4 linked regions of the Xenopus tropicalis genome follow. The protein of the gene in region 3 binds, or shares a complex with, the protein of the main gene of each other region. Links are inferred from orthologs where the notes say so. Each region holds a gene or a part of one and is shown on either strand. Other genes may lie near its edges. The genes, in order: kansl2, kansl1, kansl3 and phf20.

Region 1 (3,862 bases), on a different chromosome or scaffold from region 3:
TTTGATCAACTGTTACAGTGTCTTGGTCACTTTCACTCAAGCTGTCTTCATCTGGTCAGAAAAAATAAGACTATTACATGTGTGTTTTTGACCAGTATATGTTTGGGTTATTAGCCGTGGAGATGAAGTGACAGTGGTAAGGGGACAAAGTTAGACACTGATTACAGCTATTTAGGGAACCATAGGGGAAATGAGATACAAAGATTAGTCGTCCACAATAAATCTCCTCTACCGCATCATATTTGCCTAAAATCAATACACAACTTTATACATGCATGTAGTCTTATACTGCAGCGTTTAAGGTGCTTTGGTTTATTTAAAGGGATAGTGTCATGATTTTGATGGTATACTTTTTTTTTTTTTTTCTAAATTACTCTGTTTATATTGAAAATAATTCACTACCATTTAAAATTTTATTCTTGAACCAACAAATGTAATTTTGTTTAGTCGTAATATTAGTGTGTAGGTGCCATCTCAGTGCATTGTGTCCGAGTCTGTGCTTTTAGAAGGAGCCAGTGCTATACATCAGAACTGCTTTCAAGTAACCTATTGTCTCTCCAACTCCCATGGAACTGGAGGAGTCCCAAGACGGACTTGGATTTCTAGCTATTGAGTGCTATTCTGATTTCTACTGGGAGCTGCTATCTTGCTCCCTTCCCATTGTTCTGCTGATTGGCTGCTGGGAGGAGGAAGATATCACTCCAAGAGAATCCGCCCCGTGTGGCACTAGCCTACAGGGCAGTGGTTGCCTATGCACATGGGCTGCCCACAGTCTACATTTTCATTAAATAATAGTAGAAATAAGACATCCTTTAAATCAGTTACAAAACATTTTGGTAACTCAGCTTTCTTATTCATATTAACTTCACTATGTTATTAAAAAAAACAGCAGTGATGAGTATAGAAGAAAAAACAAAGCAAAAAAAAAATAACACACAAATGTGAACACACCAAGAATCCTGCAGGCTTCACTTCTGCTGCTTTCCTGTATCTGAGAGCCCAGCTCACTCCGGGCATATGTATTCAGCTGATACAACAGAGACTCACTAGTCGGTCCTGGGTTTGATTTCTTTATTTGAGCTTGGAGTGCTAATGCATTCCGACGCGCATGCTCTGCACAGAATGAAACCCTGCCAATATTGTAGAACAAGAAATTACTAATTATAAAAGTACATATTACATATCATAACACAAAAACTAACAAAACATAAAATATTCATTTTTGAAGCATTTATTTTGATAAAAAGCAGTATACCCCCTTGTTTAATGTGAATGCAATAAATATTGTTTGTGCTGATCATACTTTGTCTCTTGATTTAATCATGAGCAATCAATGTTTTGTTTTATTTCCTGAGCTAAACAGGAAAAACAGGGAAACAAAAGCTACTCATGATTGAGCTTTGCAAAGCAGATTAGATTCCCAGTGCCCAGACACCCACTCAGCATGTTATCTGTGCACTGGTAATATAATTATCCACCTTTAAAAAACCAAACACACAGTGTCTTCAGTTTTCCCTGTTTGACCTCTTAAAAGAAAAATAACACTAAAATTTAAGTAAAAAAAATGTATTCTACCCTGCCCCAATAATTGCCCTATCCTGCAAACCACTTAGTATTTTGAATGCTTTATTAGAAAATACCTGCTAAAACTTCCGGTCATTTGAAATAAGGCAATACGGCGAAGGAAGGAGCAGCATCCACTATGCAATGATCAATTGATCTAGCCTAGCCTTTCTTCTGTACTAGGCTTGCTCAATCGATCGTCGCATAGTGGATGCTGCTCCTTCCTTCGCCATATCACCTTATTTCAAATGACCGAAAGCCAAGTTTTAGCAGGTATTTTCTAACAAAGCATTCAAAATACTAAGTGGTTTGCAGGATAGGGCAATTATTGGAGCAGGTAGAACAGATTTTTTTACTTAAAAAAAATGTTAGTGTTACTTTTCCTTTAAGCTCCAACATAGTACTGTAAGTTAAGGGTTCAAGAAGCTAGAAATCAAGGAAGTCAAGTGGACAAGAGACAATATAGACAGTCTTAAGGTGGCCATATACCTTCAGATCCGCTCACTTTCGCCAAGCCAAGCGAGCGGATCTTCTACCGATATCCCCCACCTACGGGTGGGCGATATCAGGCGAATCCAGGCTAATTCGGTCGTGGGGCCAAACTTACAAATTAGAATAACAGGTATAGGCGAAGTCAAATCGATGCGGTCCCCGATCTGACTACATTTTTTAACCTGCCTGATTGATATCTGAATGATTTCAGGCTAGATGTCGGTCGGGCAGGCCCCTCGTTTGTGCCCCTACACGGGTCTAAGGGACCGATATCGGCAGCTACAATCGGCCCATGTATGGCCACCTTTAGGCTAATGCCCCACGGAGAGATTAGTCACCGCAACAAATCTTTGCTGCCACAGGCGACTATTTACCCCAAAATACCCTTCCAAAGTGAACCACTGGTATAAAGGCATACGCGTCACTTTGTTTTAAGAAAGTTGCACAAAAATTTCCTCCTGCAGGCAACTTTGAAAAACAAAGCACTGCTTATACCTTCCCACAGGCAATTCAAATGTTGCCGCTCGAAAGGCATTTCGGAGATAAGTTATCTGCTGTAGCAGAAATTCATTGCAATGGCATGGCAGTTAATCTCTCTGTGGGGCATTAGCCTTAAATCTCTATTCTTGTGGGAGGTGAACCTGGCAGGGGTTTGTTGTGGGAGTTTGTTAGCAGTTGGAAATAGCTATTAAATGGTCCCAAAGGTGTGTAATTATGTACTGGGGTTGCTCTGCTATCCACAGGGGAGGAGGAGGCATATGGACTTTAAGGGTATATCTTAATATGACATAATTCTTTCACATATGAATGATGGTTGATATCCCCACAGTAAGGACCAAGCATTTGGGATTTTGGTGTGGTTTGAAGTGGGTGTGGTTTCAAAAAGGGGAGTGGTCAAAACTGGCTTCCATTAGCGGCCCTCCACCATGTATGCTAGAGAAATTCCGGCCCTCGGCACCGTAGAAGTTGGACAGCACTGCTCTAGGTAATCTGTGTAAAAGGGAATGTAGTAACATGCGCATGTCATCTGGATCTAAAGGCCACCACTATATAATAAACATTTAGAAGGCAAATATACAGATCAATCCCATTAGCTTTCAGGACTATTTCTCTATAACTTTAAAAAAAAATTTCCAGTAGGCGGTGCTGCTCATTTGGTTTCTAGAGAATGCCTCAACTAAAAATATAATATATGGCAACTGCTGCTAGGCGTTCTATTGACCAGACTCCAATACTAAAAAAAATGCTTCGCCAGGGACCTTTTTCCTGACCTAATACAGTTTCTTTATTAGAGTGGAGTTGCTTTGCCTGATTGGAGAGAGTATCACCTTGCATTTAGGCTGTAGCATATTTCAATCCATTCACAGCAATAAAGGTTCTGGGCCAGTAGCCCGGAGAATCAGCCCCTACTCTGGTACCAGCCTGCTACCTTGCCTGCACCTCAGGCAGATGTGGCGGATATCAGCCAAAAAATGTTTTTCGCATTTCCAGCCAATATCCAGTGCATCAGCAAGGTAGAAAGCTGGTGCCTGTGTAGGGGCTGATACTCAGCATGTGTTTTTCCACAGGCCAAGAATCAGCCCCATGTGGCACAAGCCTGACCCTCTCAAAGGGTATATATCATTAACAACAAGTATTTTCCAGTGAATATTGAAACACTGCTATTTAAGTACTAAAGTCCATCTTTTTGGGTCATAAAGCACTGTGCTCACACACAAGCCATGGGCAAGCATGTACACAGGTATAGGACCAGTTATCCAAAATGCTCAGGACCAAGGGTATTCCGGATAAGGGGCCTTTCCGTAAT
Region 2 (4,622 bases), on a different chromosome or scaffold from region 3:
CACGCCGCCCCCTTTAACACACACATGTTCATTTGCATGTGTGCGTCTGCTTGCTGCACATCTATACCGAGTGCAGTGGTGTATTTATAATAAGGCATCTGAGGGCATCTGGGTTCTGCAAAAGTGATGTCACGCACACACTGCCGCCACATTGGTGCAGTTGACGTCACATGCACAATGAAGGGTACTATTTAGGTCCAGTGCCTAGGACAACACTGGACCTAAATACACCCCTGAGCGAGCACACACATTTTCAGACCCCACAATCCGGGCCCGGACCCTGTTCCCTGGGCTCCCCCGCAACTGCGGGTTCTGCTTCCTCTATAGTTACGCCACTGCAACCACTGCTAAATCTGCTAGTTTGGTGAAGTCAGCAAATGATGGGATCTAGACCCAATTTGACCATGTTGGGCCAAATAGTGCTGATCTGATTTTTGCCCTAGAGGGGCCCACCGGAAAACCTTGGGCTCACTCTCCAAACTATTTTTCCTCCTTTCCTCACTCAACCACTTTATTCTCCAAGTTTCTTTTATTTACATGCTAGCATCTATCCTTCCATCTATTTTTCCTCTTTGTTCCTATTCAGAAATTGGGAATGACCATGAAGTAGGCCAAATGGTCAGGAGCAGGAGGGCCCACTGACGCCTGGGCCCACCGGGAGTTTTCCTGGTATCCTGGTGGGCCAGTCCAACACTGGTCAGGGATGCCACATACATGGGCCAGTAAGCTGCCTTAAGGCCAGCTCAGAAATGCTTAGCTGATGTTCAGTTTAAATATATATTGGAGAAAAGTACCTCAAGTTATGGGGGGGGGGGGGGTAACCTAGTGACATTTAGTTATACTTATGCCCTTTCTGCAAGCCTAACACTGAGACAGACTGAACCATGGAAGTGAGGTGAAGTCAGCACAGGACAGACAGGCTCTGGCACCTAAGGCAGCCAAATAGTGGGGTATATTATATAAGGACATATTTATAAGGGGAAAATATTTCAAATATGCTACTAAAAGGTAAAATTTAATAAATATGCACTTGTGTCACTGCTGTGCTTTGGTACAAGAAATTCTGCTTTTATCTGTGGCATAGATATCAGGAAGTGATTTCCACATGTTATTTCATGGGCAACAAATTGTCTTCAGATTTTAGGCTAGGGATAGCCAATATGTGTCCCAAAAGCTTTTGTTGAGCTATATAAGCCTTCAGGCCAGTGTGAGATTTACTAGTAATGGGGTGTGGGGGTAACCAAGTTACTCCTGGTAACTGCCATACATTGAGCTTATGGTGGCATTACACTTGTGCTCTTCAATTCCTCTCAGAGGATGCTGGGAGCTGTAGTTTAGGAATAACTGGGACGCTGTGTGACAGACCCCACATTCTTGCGCATTGAAGTCTCTTTGTGGATGGAAATTTTTACATAAAGATATGGTTCATGGCCCCCCCAAAACCATAACCCACTTTCCAGCTTTGGATATAGAGTATCCCTCCCTCGTCACTTCTCTGCAGATTTATAAACAATTAATTCAGCGCTCATGGTGCAAAGTGTCCCTATTTTAGCGGTCTCCCCATGTCCCATTAAAGCCCCCCTCCCCCTTATTCATATCCTGCAACCAGACACACAGTAGGGACACAGTAATCGCACAGGGCCTCGCCCCTTACAGCTTGACGGACAACTCATTAACCAATCGCGCGAAGCTCCTCCGGACCTTCACCAATCCGGAGCTTGCAAGGGAGGGTAAAGGGTGGCACCGGAGCCAGCAGTACTGGTTGAGCTGTGCAGGTAGGTGCAAACTGAGGGGTGCTTGGGGTGTGGGGTTCATGCACCAGGTGGCAGTGGGAGTGGGGGTAGAGCACCCCTGGGCATCCAGAGGAGGCTGGGCAGAGATGGAACAGCCCATTGCAAGAGTTGGGGATGAAGGGGGCTGTGAGGAATTCTCCAGTATTCTCTAGCAGTCAGCAGGCCAGATACACTAGATACTGGAACTTTATAGGATCAGCTGTGGGGGGAGCACAGCCCCAGTGCACACTACCACACTGTGCCACACATGCAGGGCAGACACTACTTATACTATATATGTTCACTCATACTAAATACATACAGGGGAGAACATACAAATACCACTGTCTACCAGAGTCCACCCTATTAAAAATTTCCACAAAATAAAAAAAAAAAAAAACTAAATCAGATAGCGTGAGTGAAAAAATATGACTATTTGTGATCCTAGATATCAATGGATGATGCAGAGGAACCCCCCAAACTGGCCTTTGGCAGACAATGCTACAAGGATGCCTCCGAGGAACAGCCGGGATGAGGCAACAAGGATCCATGGATCAAATGAAAATCGGTACAGTCTGATAATATGGTGAGTAAGCGCCATGCTTTTATAATGTGAGTCTTTAATAGCACTGAAAGGACAGGACAGGTCCTACAGAAATTCCTTTATCTCCATTTATTCTGGGGTTACAGTAAAAGAGTGGTAACCATAAAAATGAAATGAAACACATATAAATCTTATATAATTAGTGATAATTTTAATGCAAACTGCAATGACTTCTAAGCAGCATACAGTGTGCCTCTAAATGATGATAGCGGATGTCCGGTATTAAAATGTGCAAGCAAATGTGAGGCCATGGACCTCTGACGGAGGTAGGCGAGATGGCAGGCATTTTGTTACCCTCTGTCACTTTTCCACTGGAAGGCAGTGGCACACAGAATCCTTGTCCTGTGCCATTAGCCTAAATATCTGTAGTGGGAAAAGAAATGGGTAGCAATCCAGTGCACATTGCTAAGGCTGCACATCCAGACTGGGTGCCCATGGCTGAAGGGAACAGTAACTTTCTTGAAGTAAACACGACCCACAGCTTTGCCTTACTAATGCTGCTCCTTGCCTTACAGCTCACCAGCATTGCTCTTTTCTTTCTTGGGGTCTGGATGAACTTATTTATCTCGACTTCTCATAAGGAGGTCTGGAATGGGATATAAAATAGGCCATGGCATATCATGTACAGAGAGGCCAAAAAATCCCAATAAATAGTGACTGTCTATGGCAGGGGTGTCAAACTCAATCACATAAGGGGGCCAAAATCTAAAACACAGGCTAAGCTGCGGGCTGAATTTTTTATTAAGATACTTAATCTTACTAAAGGATAGATCCTTCCTCACCCTGAAACACCATATCACACGCCATCTTCGTGCATTAATTATGTTTTGAAAATAACAGCAGTTCAGGCCGCATGCCTTGTGTTTGACACGTGGTCTATGGCATCTTATACCAGCCCCTCTGGCATTTGCCAGAATCTGTAGACTGCGAGTCCGGGCCTGCTCATAGGACATGGGTCACATCAGACAAGTGGATTAGTTAGGGGATGGTGAGATAGCAGTCAGGGTTAGTGGTTCATGTCTTGGAAAATCCATGGTAGGGATGGTCTATGGGTAAAGCCAGATGGTTGAATATTACAAGAAACATCCCTTAGACCCTGTTCCTCACTGTTACCATTTGTGAGTGTGGGAGTCCTCATTGCTGACCATAGTCGATAGGGATCATTGACAACACAGCCTATCACTGGAAATGGTAATGCCCTGGGGCCTTTTACTAGATGCTTCTCCCAGCTGCTTTAACATTAGAGCTTGGTCTGCCTCTGCAGCCTGCTTAATTTGTGAGGAGCATGTAATTTTAAAAACGTAGTCCATATACTATTAAAAAAATATGGGGCAGCACCTGGCCATTCTACCTTTAATTATCCTATTTCCTCTGCAATTATGCTTTTCTTTGTTCCCTTTTTATTTTTTTAATTCAGTTGCCAGCTTCTTTCATGATATCCCACAGCCAATTCCATGTGTAATACCCCAGAACACATAGCAACAAAAATGCTGTGGAAATTTAATTTAAAATACATCTTAGATTACCTTGCAGGATTACCTGTAATGTCTGTTTCACATAAAATATCACAGAAACATAGTAGGATAAATGCATTGCCAATTCCATTTATAATGCCCTCAGAACTTATGCCTGTTCCATATATAATGCCCCCAAAACACATGCCAGATCCATATATTTAGCCCCCAGAACACATGCCAAATCCATATATATAATGCCTCCAGAAAAAATGTAATATAATACAGTCTCAGTTTCATGCATAATAATCCCACAACACATGTGAGGACAAGAGGATTGGTTATCAGGGAATATGAAGTGGGTCATTACCTAGGGAATCTAAAAATTATGGAGGATGAGGAGGATGATTTATGAATTAGGAGAGGAATTTTATTATGGGCAAGAATTTGTAAGTGTCAGTGATCCAGCTATTCTGTAATTGCAGATCTCAAAATGTAACAATTAGCTGAGCTTGCAATGCATGTTGAGAGTTGTAGTCGTGTCACAGTGGCAGAAGCACTCTACCCCTAATGTAGGACAGTGGTCAGGATTAGAAGGAGAGGTGTGACAGTAGGAAGCAAACAATAATAAAATTTAGATGTAAGAAAGACAACCCTCTCAAGGTCTATTTAATTTACTTGAGACTCCTTGAGATAACTTCAATTTATTACAAACAATTTATTATAAACAGAAGTACAATTTGTTATATTAATGAACTAGTGTTTATTATTGCAGCCCCCTGGTCTTATTCA
Region 3 (4,446 bases):
TGAAGGTTGCAATGCTTTGTATAAGACCATTTCTGCTGTATATGCATACTCCCATGTATATCTCCACCAACACTAGCCTATTTATTATATCCACAATCTGTGGGTTCTGGCAAATGCCAGAGGGGCTGCTGTAAGATGCCATAGACAGTCACTATTTATTGGGCTGGTGAGGGGCTTTTTGGGCCTCTGTGTACTTGAAATACCAGGGCCTGTTTTGGGTCCTAGCCCAGACCTGTGTTACAGGGACCTTAGAGGACCCATTTCCCCCAAAAAATAGCCTGAAGCATGTCATGTGCTTCTGGCACTTAACTTCACCCATCCAATTTGTAGCTTTTCTAGATAAATATACATTTCCCAATTATATTTTAACGTGTTAAAACAAGAAGGTGCGATTAAACCTTTGTCTCAAACATACAGAAAACCCCACCTGTAAAAGCCCTTACACAAATACACACACAACTCTTAATCCTTCAGTACAATAAACAAAATTGTTATTAAAGGGATGGTAGCAAACAAGCTGGTGTTAATAAAACACAGGAAGATTAAAAGAAGAGGACCTGAATAGAAAGACAATAATAAATAATACAACTGTAGACAAAACAGGACCCCAATGAAAGCTAGACAATGTCAGAAGAGGAAAACCTGTGACACAGGATTGGTGATTTCGTCCCCCTTATCCTACACCACACGCATGCATACAGTGAGCCAACTGGGGCACACACTCATAATGAGCACGTGTGCCCCAATGTATCCACCCATACTGGGAGCTCCCTCCGGGGCAGACGGCATATTGCTCAACAAAGAACTGACTGCAAGCTCTACCAGACAGCACCACCAGTGAAGGTAGAAACTTTACTATGATAAATGCCCTTTAATTTAAAGGTAAACTACTTACCCCTTCACATCAGCTTGAACATGAATACTGACAAAGTTGTGTTGATAAATACGTAAGATAATATTTAAATATTTGTACAATCAGAAAAAAAATTCTTATGGTCTTCCCTGCTAACTATACACATTAAGATCTGGACTTTTGCCAAACGATTCTATTGTTGCCCAATTTGACCACCTACGTTCTGGGCCAAATTGGGCTGATCCAATTGTTTAGTCTCTGGGCTAATGAATGGATCATAATAGGTGCCTATAGTGTCAGGAGAAGACCGCATGAACACACCAATGCCAGCCCCTGCCTGCCAATATTTTCAAACCTGCTTGATAAGTATCTGCCCAATTTTCATCAGGTAATCAGCCAGGGTGGGCCCATAAACAGGCAGGTAAGATGCTTAAAGGAACAGTAACATCAAAAAATTTAAGTGTTTTAAAGGAGAAGGAAAGGCTAAGTCACTTGGGGGTGCCAAAATGTTAGGCACCCCCAAGTGACTTAGAGCGCCTACCTTGTACCCCAGGCTGGTGCCCCTGTACGGAGGGAACAGCACCAGCCCGGGGCACCTGTAGACACCGCTTCCTCCTTCCTTTGCGCGCTGCCGGCGAAATCCGCCGGCCGGCGCATGCGCAGTAGAGTGAAAAGCCGACTTTAATGTTTAAGTTCGGCTTTTCACTCTACTGCGCATGCGCGCGCAGCGAGGAGGAAGGAGGAAGCGCCGGCAGCTACCCCGGGCTGGTGCTGTTCTCTCCGTACAGGGGCACCAGCCCGGGGTACAAGGTAGGCGTTCTAAGTCACTTGGGGGTGCCTAACATTTTGGCACCCCCAAGTGACTTAGCCTTTCCTTCTCCTTTAAAGTAATTAAAATATAATGTACTGCTGCCCAGCAAAAAAATGGTGTTTTTTGCTACAGAAAAGCTACTATATAAATAAGCTGCTGTGTAGCCATGGGGGCAGCCATTCAAGCTGGAAAAAAGGAGAAAAGGCACAGGTTACATAGCAGATAACTAGTAGATAAGCCCCATATAATGAGGGTTTATCTGTTATCTGCTAAGTAACCTGTGCCTTTTCTCCTTTGAATGGCTGCCCCCATGGCTACACAGCAGCTTACTTATATAAACTATAGTAGTCTTTCTGAGGCAAACACACCAGTTGTAGCAATGCAGGGCAACAGTACATTATATTGTAATTACTTTTATACACTTTCATTTTTTGGTGTTACTGTTCCTTTAAGGGCAAGGACACACAGAGCTACTCAGTAGCAGTTACTTGTTACAGCTACTAATCACCAAAAAAATACCCTGTAAAAGATCAGCACTGTCTAGTTCTGTAGCCATGACAAGTAGCTGCTACTAGTAGCCGTGTGTCTTCACCCTAAATCTGCCCATGTCATGACGTGATGTCAGAAAATGAGGCAACAATACAATGGGAAAATACAAACCTACTAATTAAGCTCCCTCTTACATTATGAATATGACAGAAAGTGTCACTGGGGACAAATGTGCACTGAGGGGGCCCCAGGATGGTTGGGCAACCAACATGCAGGGCAAAATGTCATGGAGTTCATAGGCAATGCAACACTCTGCATCAGCACAGCTATCATTACTAACATGGATGTATAAGGTGGCAAGCTCTGTACAACAGCAGAGTGAATACACCATACATTCAAACACAGGAGGTAAAGAGGGCCCTGATCCTGAGAGCTAACTATCTATAGGAGATGCAGAGAGCTGCAGATAAACAAAAGGCGGAAGGCTACAACTTGTACATCCCTGATGTGTACAGGACACACATCTATTATATGATTACTTGTTTCCACGGTGACGCCCCTAAAATTGTGAGGGGCCGAGGCGTATGCTCTCCGCACCCTAAGCCCTGTGCGAGCTGAAGTACGGCTGTGTAACATACATGCATACCGCCCAACAGTGCCGCTTCACACAACCCGCAGCCCGGATCGCTGCTAAAACGCTCCGCACCTCAGCCTCTGCCGAACAGCGAATCCCGACATCTCAAGTCTCATCTCGCGAGACGTCACGAACTCACGTAATAACGCAGTGACGCGTACGTAGGAGCCTTGCGTGAGAGAGTGCCGCAATACGTAGGAGCCTTGCGTGAGTGAGTGACGCGAATGGGTGGAGCGCTTCAGTGTACAAGTTAGTAAGAGGTGGTAGCCATTTAGGGTCAGCTGCTGTTGACTGTGAGGGTTGTATCTTTGCTTGCGGCCTCGGTTTTTGTAAAGGAACATGAAAAAGACTTTTCGAGTTGGTTGTCTTGTTTGACGGCAGGCGATAGCGCCTCTGTTCCTGAAATGTAGCTGCGACTATGCAGTTGTGTCTCAGCCCACTGTTGAAGGGGTCGTTGACCTTTGAGTTAACTATGGATCGGAGAGTCATATTCACACAATGTACAATTGGTCTTCATTTTTTATTATTTGTAGTTTTTAAGTTATTTCATTTTCAGTTCAGGAGCTCACCAGTTTGGAATTGTAAGCAGTTATTTGGTTGCTAGGGTCCATGTTAACGTAGCAACCAGGGGGTGGTTTGGATGAGAGACTGATATATGAATAGGAGAGGCTGCCGGGGTCAGTGTCCTCTATTTGAAAGCTGCAAAGGCAAATATATTAAAAACTATTACAAATAAATAACGAAGACCAACGAAAAGTTACTTAGAATAGGTGATTATATAACATGCTAAAAGTTAACCACCCCTTTAATTGTGTTGGGGAACAAAAATCCGACTTTGTTTTATTCTTGATGAGTGTGGGTAATAGCCCAATAACTACTGCTGCTGGAGCAGCTGTGCCCAACATTGTATCAAGTCATATATATCTGCACAAGAAGGTTATCACTTTTTCTAGTTGTTTGCAGTCTCTGCACTCAATGTTTAACGAAAAGTAAAATTAATTTTGTTATCTGCAGAAAGTACTGACTTGTGACTGGAAACAAAAAGTTTTTTTTTCCTAGTTGTGAATGATACAACCCTCAGCCTCTTGCTCATGGTGCCTTTGGACCAAGCCCCAACTGGGAACTACACTTTTGTCCTGGTTGCCAACAATATCTGCTGCAACCAGCACATCTGATCCCTATTTGGCTAAAAAGGAAACATATTTGTGAAAAAATATATACTACAGTATATAGTATATTTAAATACTTATTTACAGTGGGACTTCTGCTCAGCACATGGCCTAGGTTGGTCAGGGCATTAAGAGATTCCCAGATTTCATTCCATTGATCTCTTTCATGGGGGAATGCTTTGTAAATATATCTGATAAATAATGGTATTCTAAGGCAGTGATCCCCAACCATTCGCTCGGGGGCAACATGTTGCTCACCAACCCCTTGGATGTTGCTCTCAGTGCCCCCAAACCAGGGAGTTATTTTTGAATTCCTGACTTGGGGGCAAGTTTCGGTTAAATAAAAACAAGATTCACTAGCAAATAAAGCCCCCTGTAAGCTGATAGTGTGCATAGAGGCCCCTAATAGCCAATTACAGCCCTTATTTGGCACCTCCGTGAACTTTTATGGTGCTTGTGTTGCACTCCAAGTCTTTTTACATTTGACTGT
Region 4 (4,615 bases), on a different chromosome or scaffold from region 3:
ACCTACGGGTGGCCAATATCAGGCTACTTTGGTCGTTTGACCCTGGGCCTAAACGATTTAATTAGAACGGTGGGTATAGGCAGACTGAAAAATAAAACCCACCCGATCGAGATCTGGCTGATCTCTGGCAAGCCGTCCGTGCCCATACACAGGCCGATAAGCTGCCGGAATGGGTTCGTGTATACCCACCTTTATACATGGGGTTGGGTTGACAGATGTATGTGCAGGGATACTGGTCACAGACAGCAGCTAAACAAAAAATATATCAATAAAGCACACCTAGACTCAAATTGTATCTAGTAATGTTCCAAGATATTTGCACAGGCCTAGGGTCTGATTGTGTGTGGAAGGTGAACTGCATCTATAAGAACGTCTGCACAAAAGACTCATAGGAGATTAAGGAGACGCATGTGACCCGGGTGACACATGTGAGATTACAATCACTGTTGTGTTTGTCAAAAAAGGAACATCACTTTAAATTCTACTGTAACTTTAAAAGGGCTGGAAAATATCCGTTTAGCCATATTTTTATCTATACTGTGAGTTTTCTGACCCATTTCCAGTAGTTATTTTTTCTCTCGGACAGTGACATCAATAACGTAAAATAAAGAACAAAACCATTCAAACCACAGATTTAAGGGCGTAAAAAGAATAAAGTCTGCCTTTCCTTATGGTAAATATCTAATAGAGCAGAACCACGTGTGCATATAAACTACACAAGCAAAATACCTACTATTATTTAAAGCAATAACTCCTTTTCACTTCTGCAACCCATTACAGACCCCGCAGGGTTTCAGCACCCAAAGCCAGACAACCTCTTGCCCCAAGGGCTCTCTTCACCTCTTGTATCGGTTATTGATTGCTTTATATGTTGCTCTGTATGTCCAATGTATGTAACCCACTTATTGTACAGCGCTGCGGGATATGTTGGCGCTTTATAAATAAATGTTAATAATAATTATAAATACTCCTCAAACCCACTAAAAACACCACAATTCTTCCTATAACCTGCCCTTGGGGTATGTACAATTTGCAGCTCCCCGGATCTTGCTAAGACACAGCCTTGATTCAAACCTTCTAAAATCCCCAGCATCCCAACAGCAAAAGGTCATTGGTGCTGAACTGCAGTTGTGTCTCTGTTGCTGAACTATAACTACCTAACAGTCACTGATGCTGTGAGTTACATAGTTACATAGGGTTGAAAAAAGACCAGTGTCCATCAAGTTCAACCCATCCAAGTAAACCCAGCACACCCAACCCACACCTACCAATCTATACACTCACATAAACTGTTGAAGTTCAACCACAGCTGGTGCATCTTTACTTTATTGCTATCATGTTGAGCTGTTAAACCAAGCTTTATATTGGGATTGTTCAATATCTACTACATTGGTTATTGCCCCACTGAAGTTCCTTGAGGTCAATTCCCTTGCAAGCCAATTAACCTGTGTGTTACTACTGAGCGCAGCAGAAAACCTACAGACGTAGGTAAATCATACAGACTCCTAGCAGGTTGGTTCCTGCAGGAATGGAAATCTAGACCCCAGGGCTCCAGCCCCCCAGTCACAGCATATTCCCTGTCTCAGAAAAGAGATGACTAACATTGTTATAATGGACTTTTTCTTAGCCGTCCTCATCCAAGTTCTGCTCTACGGACAGCGGTTTGGCTGCCCCTATCTGTACCCCCCTACAGACAGCTGTGCGTGGCCCAGATTGGCTGCGCATCCTCTGGGTGGGTTTGAATCCTGGAAATGACCGATGTTTACAAAGTTCACCAACAGGTTGCGTCACACAGCCACACAACATGGCTCGGCTTCCCCTGCCCACTGATTTGTATTCAGTGCAGCAAAATCCCATAAGCACTGATTTAAAGGGACAGTTTTATATAGGAGTAGCATTTACCATCAAGGGGCCAGATATGTTAACCCTTCACATAGTAGGAAGGCTGGGACCCCATCCTATGGGTAAGAGGGAGTAATAGAGTTCTGGGATAGCCACCATGTGATCCTACAACTAGATGAACTGCAACTCCCAGCACTCCAACTAAGCCAGGCTGTTTGAAGAATAATGAGATGATACAAAATATATATTAAAACGTTGCTGAATTGCACTGTACCTATATCCAACAATTTCAATAAATTCGTATTTTTCCCCCAGATGGGGTCCCCCTGAAAAGCTGGGGATCCTAGGCACCCTAAAGCCCTGGTCATTCCATCTTCTTTATATAAGATAACGGAAGACCGTATCTCCACATGGCACAACGTTTCGACCGCGTTTCCTTTAGACAGCAGCGTCTTTTAAAGGGACTTCAGAAAGCATGGCAAGTACCGCCCCTCCGCGCTCATTGGTTCAAGCAGCCGTCTGTCAAGCTATTCTACGCACGTAATTGGTTCCCTTACCGCTCCATCATTATCAGGCAGGGAAAAGACCGGCCGCTGCAGGCCTGCCTTCCCCACTCAGCAACCTTTCTCTTCACCCCCAAAACCTTAAAAAAATACATAAAGTAATGGCGGAGAGTCCCGGAGGCGCCCCCCCACCTGCATCACAAGTACAGGGAATGAGCGCCCCGCCCATGTGACCATTGTTCTACCCAGCAACCGGCAGCCCCAGCATCCCGCCCCTGTCAGCAGCAGCAGCAGCAGGATAGAGCACGCAGTACCTGAGCTCTGTCACTCCTTGGCTTCTCTTCGCTTTTCCTTAGTAATTTCCCTCCGACTTTCAACCTTTCCACCTCCCGGTGTGTCAGTGAGCTCTTCCAGTCACATATAAATCATTATCCTCCCTCACAAGAACAGGCACCACCACCGCCTCCTTCTTTTTTCACACTGCGCGGCATGGCAAGGCGCGCCCCCGCCCCATAACACTTAATGACACGGACGCGCACCTACAGAAGAGAAGGGGACGGCTGTACAACGGGGCGCGTACCCGCGTTCTGGGCGGGGAATTCGATTTTCCCCGCCCGCCCCGCCAGGAAAATAGCGGGGCAGGGATTGGTCAGCGCGGTCAGCTGATGAATGAGTTTGGCGCGGTTTTTCTGTGCGCTCCGCCCCAGACCTTCCTGAGAAAGAATTGGCTGTGGCGCATGAGGGAAGTGATGTGCTGACTCACTGTAAACTTTGTGACAGGCGCAATGTCTGAAGGAACAAGAAAAATGCGTGGATATGATTTAGTCTGGGTTGTGTTTTAGGTGTGAGCACGTCATGGCCACCCAGTAGCAAAGGCCTCTAGCAGAAAGGCTATTTACTGTGTGACAATTGTTAGGTGCTTTGCTGGTTACGTCAGTCACGACCAACCAATGGCCCTCCAGCTGTTATACTGCACCTTACCAGCCCACAGCCTTACAATAAATCCTGGCATGCAGGTGCTGAGTCTCACCAGGTGCTTTATTTTGTATTTTACTTTTAATTTGATTGGGGGTGTGAATTAAGAATTAGAAAAGGATTTGGGTTTTCAGGCCCAGACTGGCAATCTGTGGGTTCAGGCAAATGCCAGAGGGGCTGCTGTAAGGTGCCATAGACAGTCACTATTTATTGGGCTGGGGGGGCTGTTTGGGCCTCTGGGTACTTGGAATGCCAGGACCCAGGCCCAGACTGGCAATCTGTGGGTTCAGGCAAATGCCAGAGGGGCTGCTGTAAGATGCCATAGACAGTCACTATTTATTGGGCTGGGGGGGGGGCTGTTTGGGCCTCTGGGTACTGGGAATGCCAGGACCCAGGCCCAGACTGGCAATCTGTGGGTTCAGGCAAATGCCAGAGGGGCTGCTGTAAGATGCCATAGTCACTCACTATTTATTGGGCTGGGGGGGCTGTTTGGGCCTCTGGGTACTGGGAATGCCAGGACCCAGGCCCAGACTGGCAATCTGTGGGTTCAGGCAAATGCCAGAGGGGTTGCTGTAAGATGCCATAGACAGTCACTATTTATTGGGCTGGGGGAGGGGGGGATGTTTGGGCCTCTGGGTACTTGGAATGCCAGGACCCAGGCCCAGACTGGCAATCTGTGGGTTCAGGCAAATGCCAGAGGGGCTGCTGTAAGGTGCCACAGCCAGTCACTATTTATTGGGCTGGGGGGGCTGTTTGGGCCTCTGGGTACTTGGAATGCCAGGGCCCAGGCCCAGACTGGCAATCTGTGGGTTCAGGCAAATGCCAGAGGGGCTGCTGTAAGATGCCACAGACAGTCACTATTTATTGGGCTGGGGGGGCTGTTTGGGCCTCTGGGTACTTGGAATGCCAGGGCCCAGGCCCAGACTGGCAATCTGTGGGTTCAGGCAAATGCCAGAGGGGTTGCTGTAAGGTGCCATAGACAGTCACTATTGGGCTGGGGGGGGGGCTGTTTGGGTCTCTGAGCTGGGGTTTAACTACAGAGGAACAGGGGGGTGGGGCAGGAGTGTAGAGGGCTCAGTGAGGTCCTAATTAGTGGGCAATTTCAACATTTCTTGATAGAATATTTCAACTGTCTAGTATTTTGGGGCCCTAAATTTAAGTTGCTGTGGGGTACCTCTGAGTAACTAAAATGCCAGGGCCTATTTTAAATCACAGTCCAGACCTGGGTAGGGCCCTCCATGTTACCAGCAGTGGCAAAGTCTTATTAAACCAAAATTTGTCTCTTGTGGTGCAGA

What was found.
Region 1: kansl3 (region 3) and kansl2 share a complex: the UniProt entries of both Homo sapiens proteins name them as parts of the NSL complex. The link is inferred for Xenopus tropicalis from reciprocal best matches to the Homo sapiens genes KANSL3 and KANSL2.
Region 2: kansl3 (region 3) and kansl1 share a complex: the UniProt entries of both Homo sapiens proteins name them as parts of the NSL complex. The link is inferred for Xenopus tropicalis from reciprocal best matches to the Homo sapiens genes KANSL3 and KANSL1.
Region 4: kansl3 (region 3) and phf20 share a complex: the UniProt entries of both Homo sapiens proteins name them as parts of the NSL complex. The link is inferred for Xenopus tropicalis from reciprocal best matches to the Homo sapiens genes KANSL3 and PHF20.

The regions. Positions count from the first base shown.
Region 1 is NC_030678.2:135,662,879-135,666,740, forward strand, and holds part of kansl2 (KAT8 regulatory NSL complex subunit 2), read right to left. Parts: intron 1,131-3,862; coding exon 952-1,130; intron 52-951; coding exon 1-51. UniProt on the Homo sapiens protein: Non-catalytic component of the NSL histone acetyltransferase complex, a multiprotein complex that mediates histone H4 acetylation at 'Lys-5'- and 'Lys-8' (H4K5ac and H4K8ac) at transcription start sites and promotes transcription initiation.
Region 2 is NC_030686.2:17,302,884-17,307,505, reverse strand, and holds the start of kansl1 (KAT8 regulatory NSL complex subunit 1), read left to right. Parts: upstream 1-1,743; 5' UTR 1,744-1,775; intron 1,776-2,220; 5' UTR 2,221-2,358; intron 2,359-4,622. UniProt on the Homo sapiens protein: Non-catalytic component of the NSL histone acetyltransferase complex, a multiprotein complex that mediates histone H4 acetylation at 'Lys-5'- and 'Lys-8' (H4K5ac and H4K8ac) at transcription start sites and promotes transcription initiation.
Region 3 is NC_030679.2:125,205,212-125,209,657, forward strand, and holds the start of kansl3 (KAT8 regulatory NSL complex subunit 3), read right to left. Parts: upstream 2,952-4,446; 5' UTR 2,860-2,951; exon of another isoform or gene 2,792-2,859; intron 2,779-2,791; exon of another isoform or gene 2,693-2,778; intron 1-2,692. UniProt on the Homo sapiens protein: Non-catalytic component of the NSL histone acetyltransferase complex, a multiprotein complex that mediates histone H4 acetylation at 'Lys-5'- and 'Lys-8' (H4K5ac and H4K8ac) at transcription start sites and promotes transcription initiation.
Region 4 is NC_030686.2:42,973,503-42,978,117, reverse strand, and holds the start of phf20 (PHD finger protein 20), read right to left. Parts: upstream 2,926-4,615; 5' UTR 2,660-2,925; intron 1-2,659. UniProt on the Homo sapiens protein: Methyllysine-binding protein, component of the MOF histone acetyltransferase protein complex.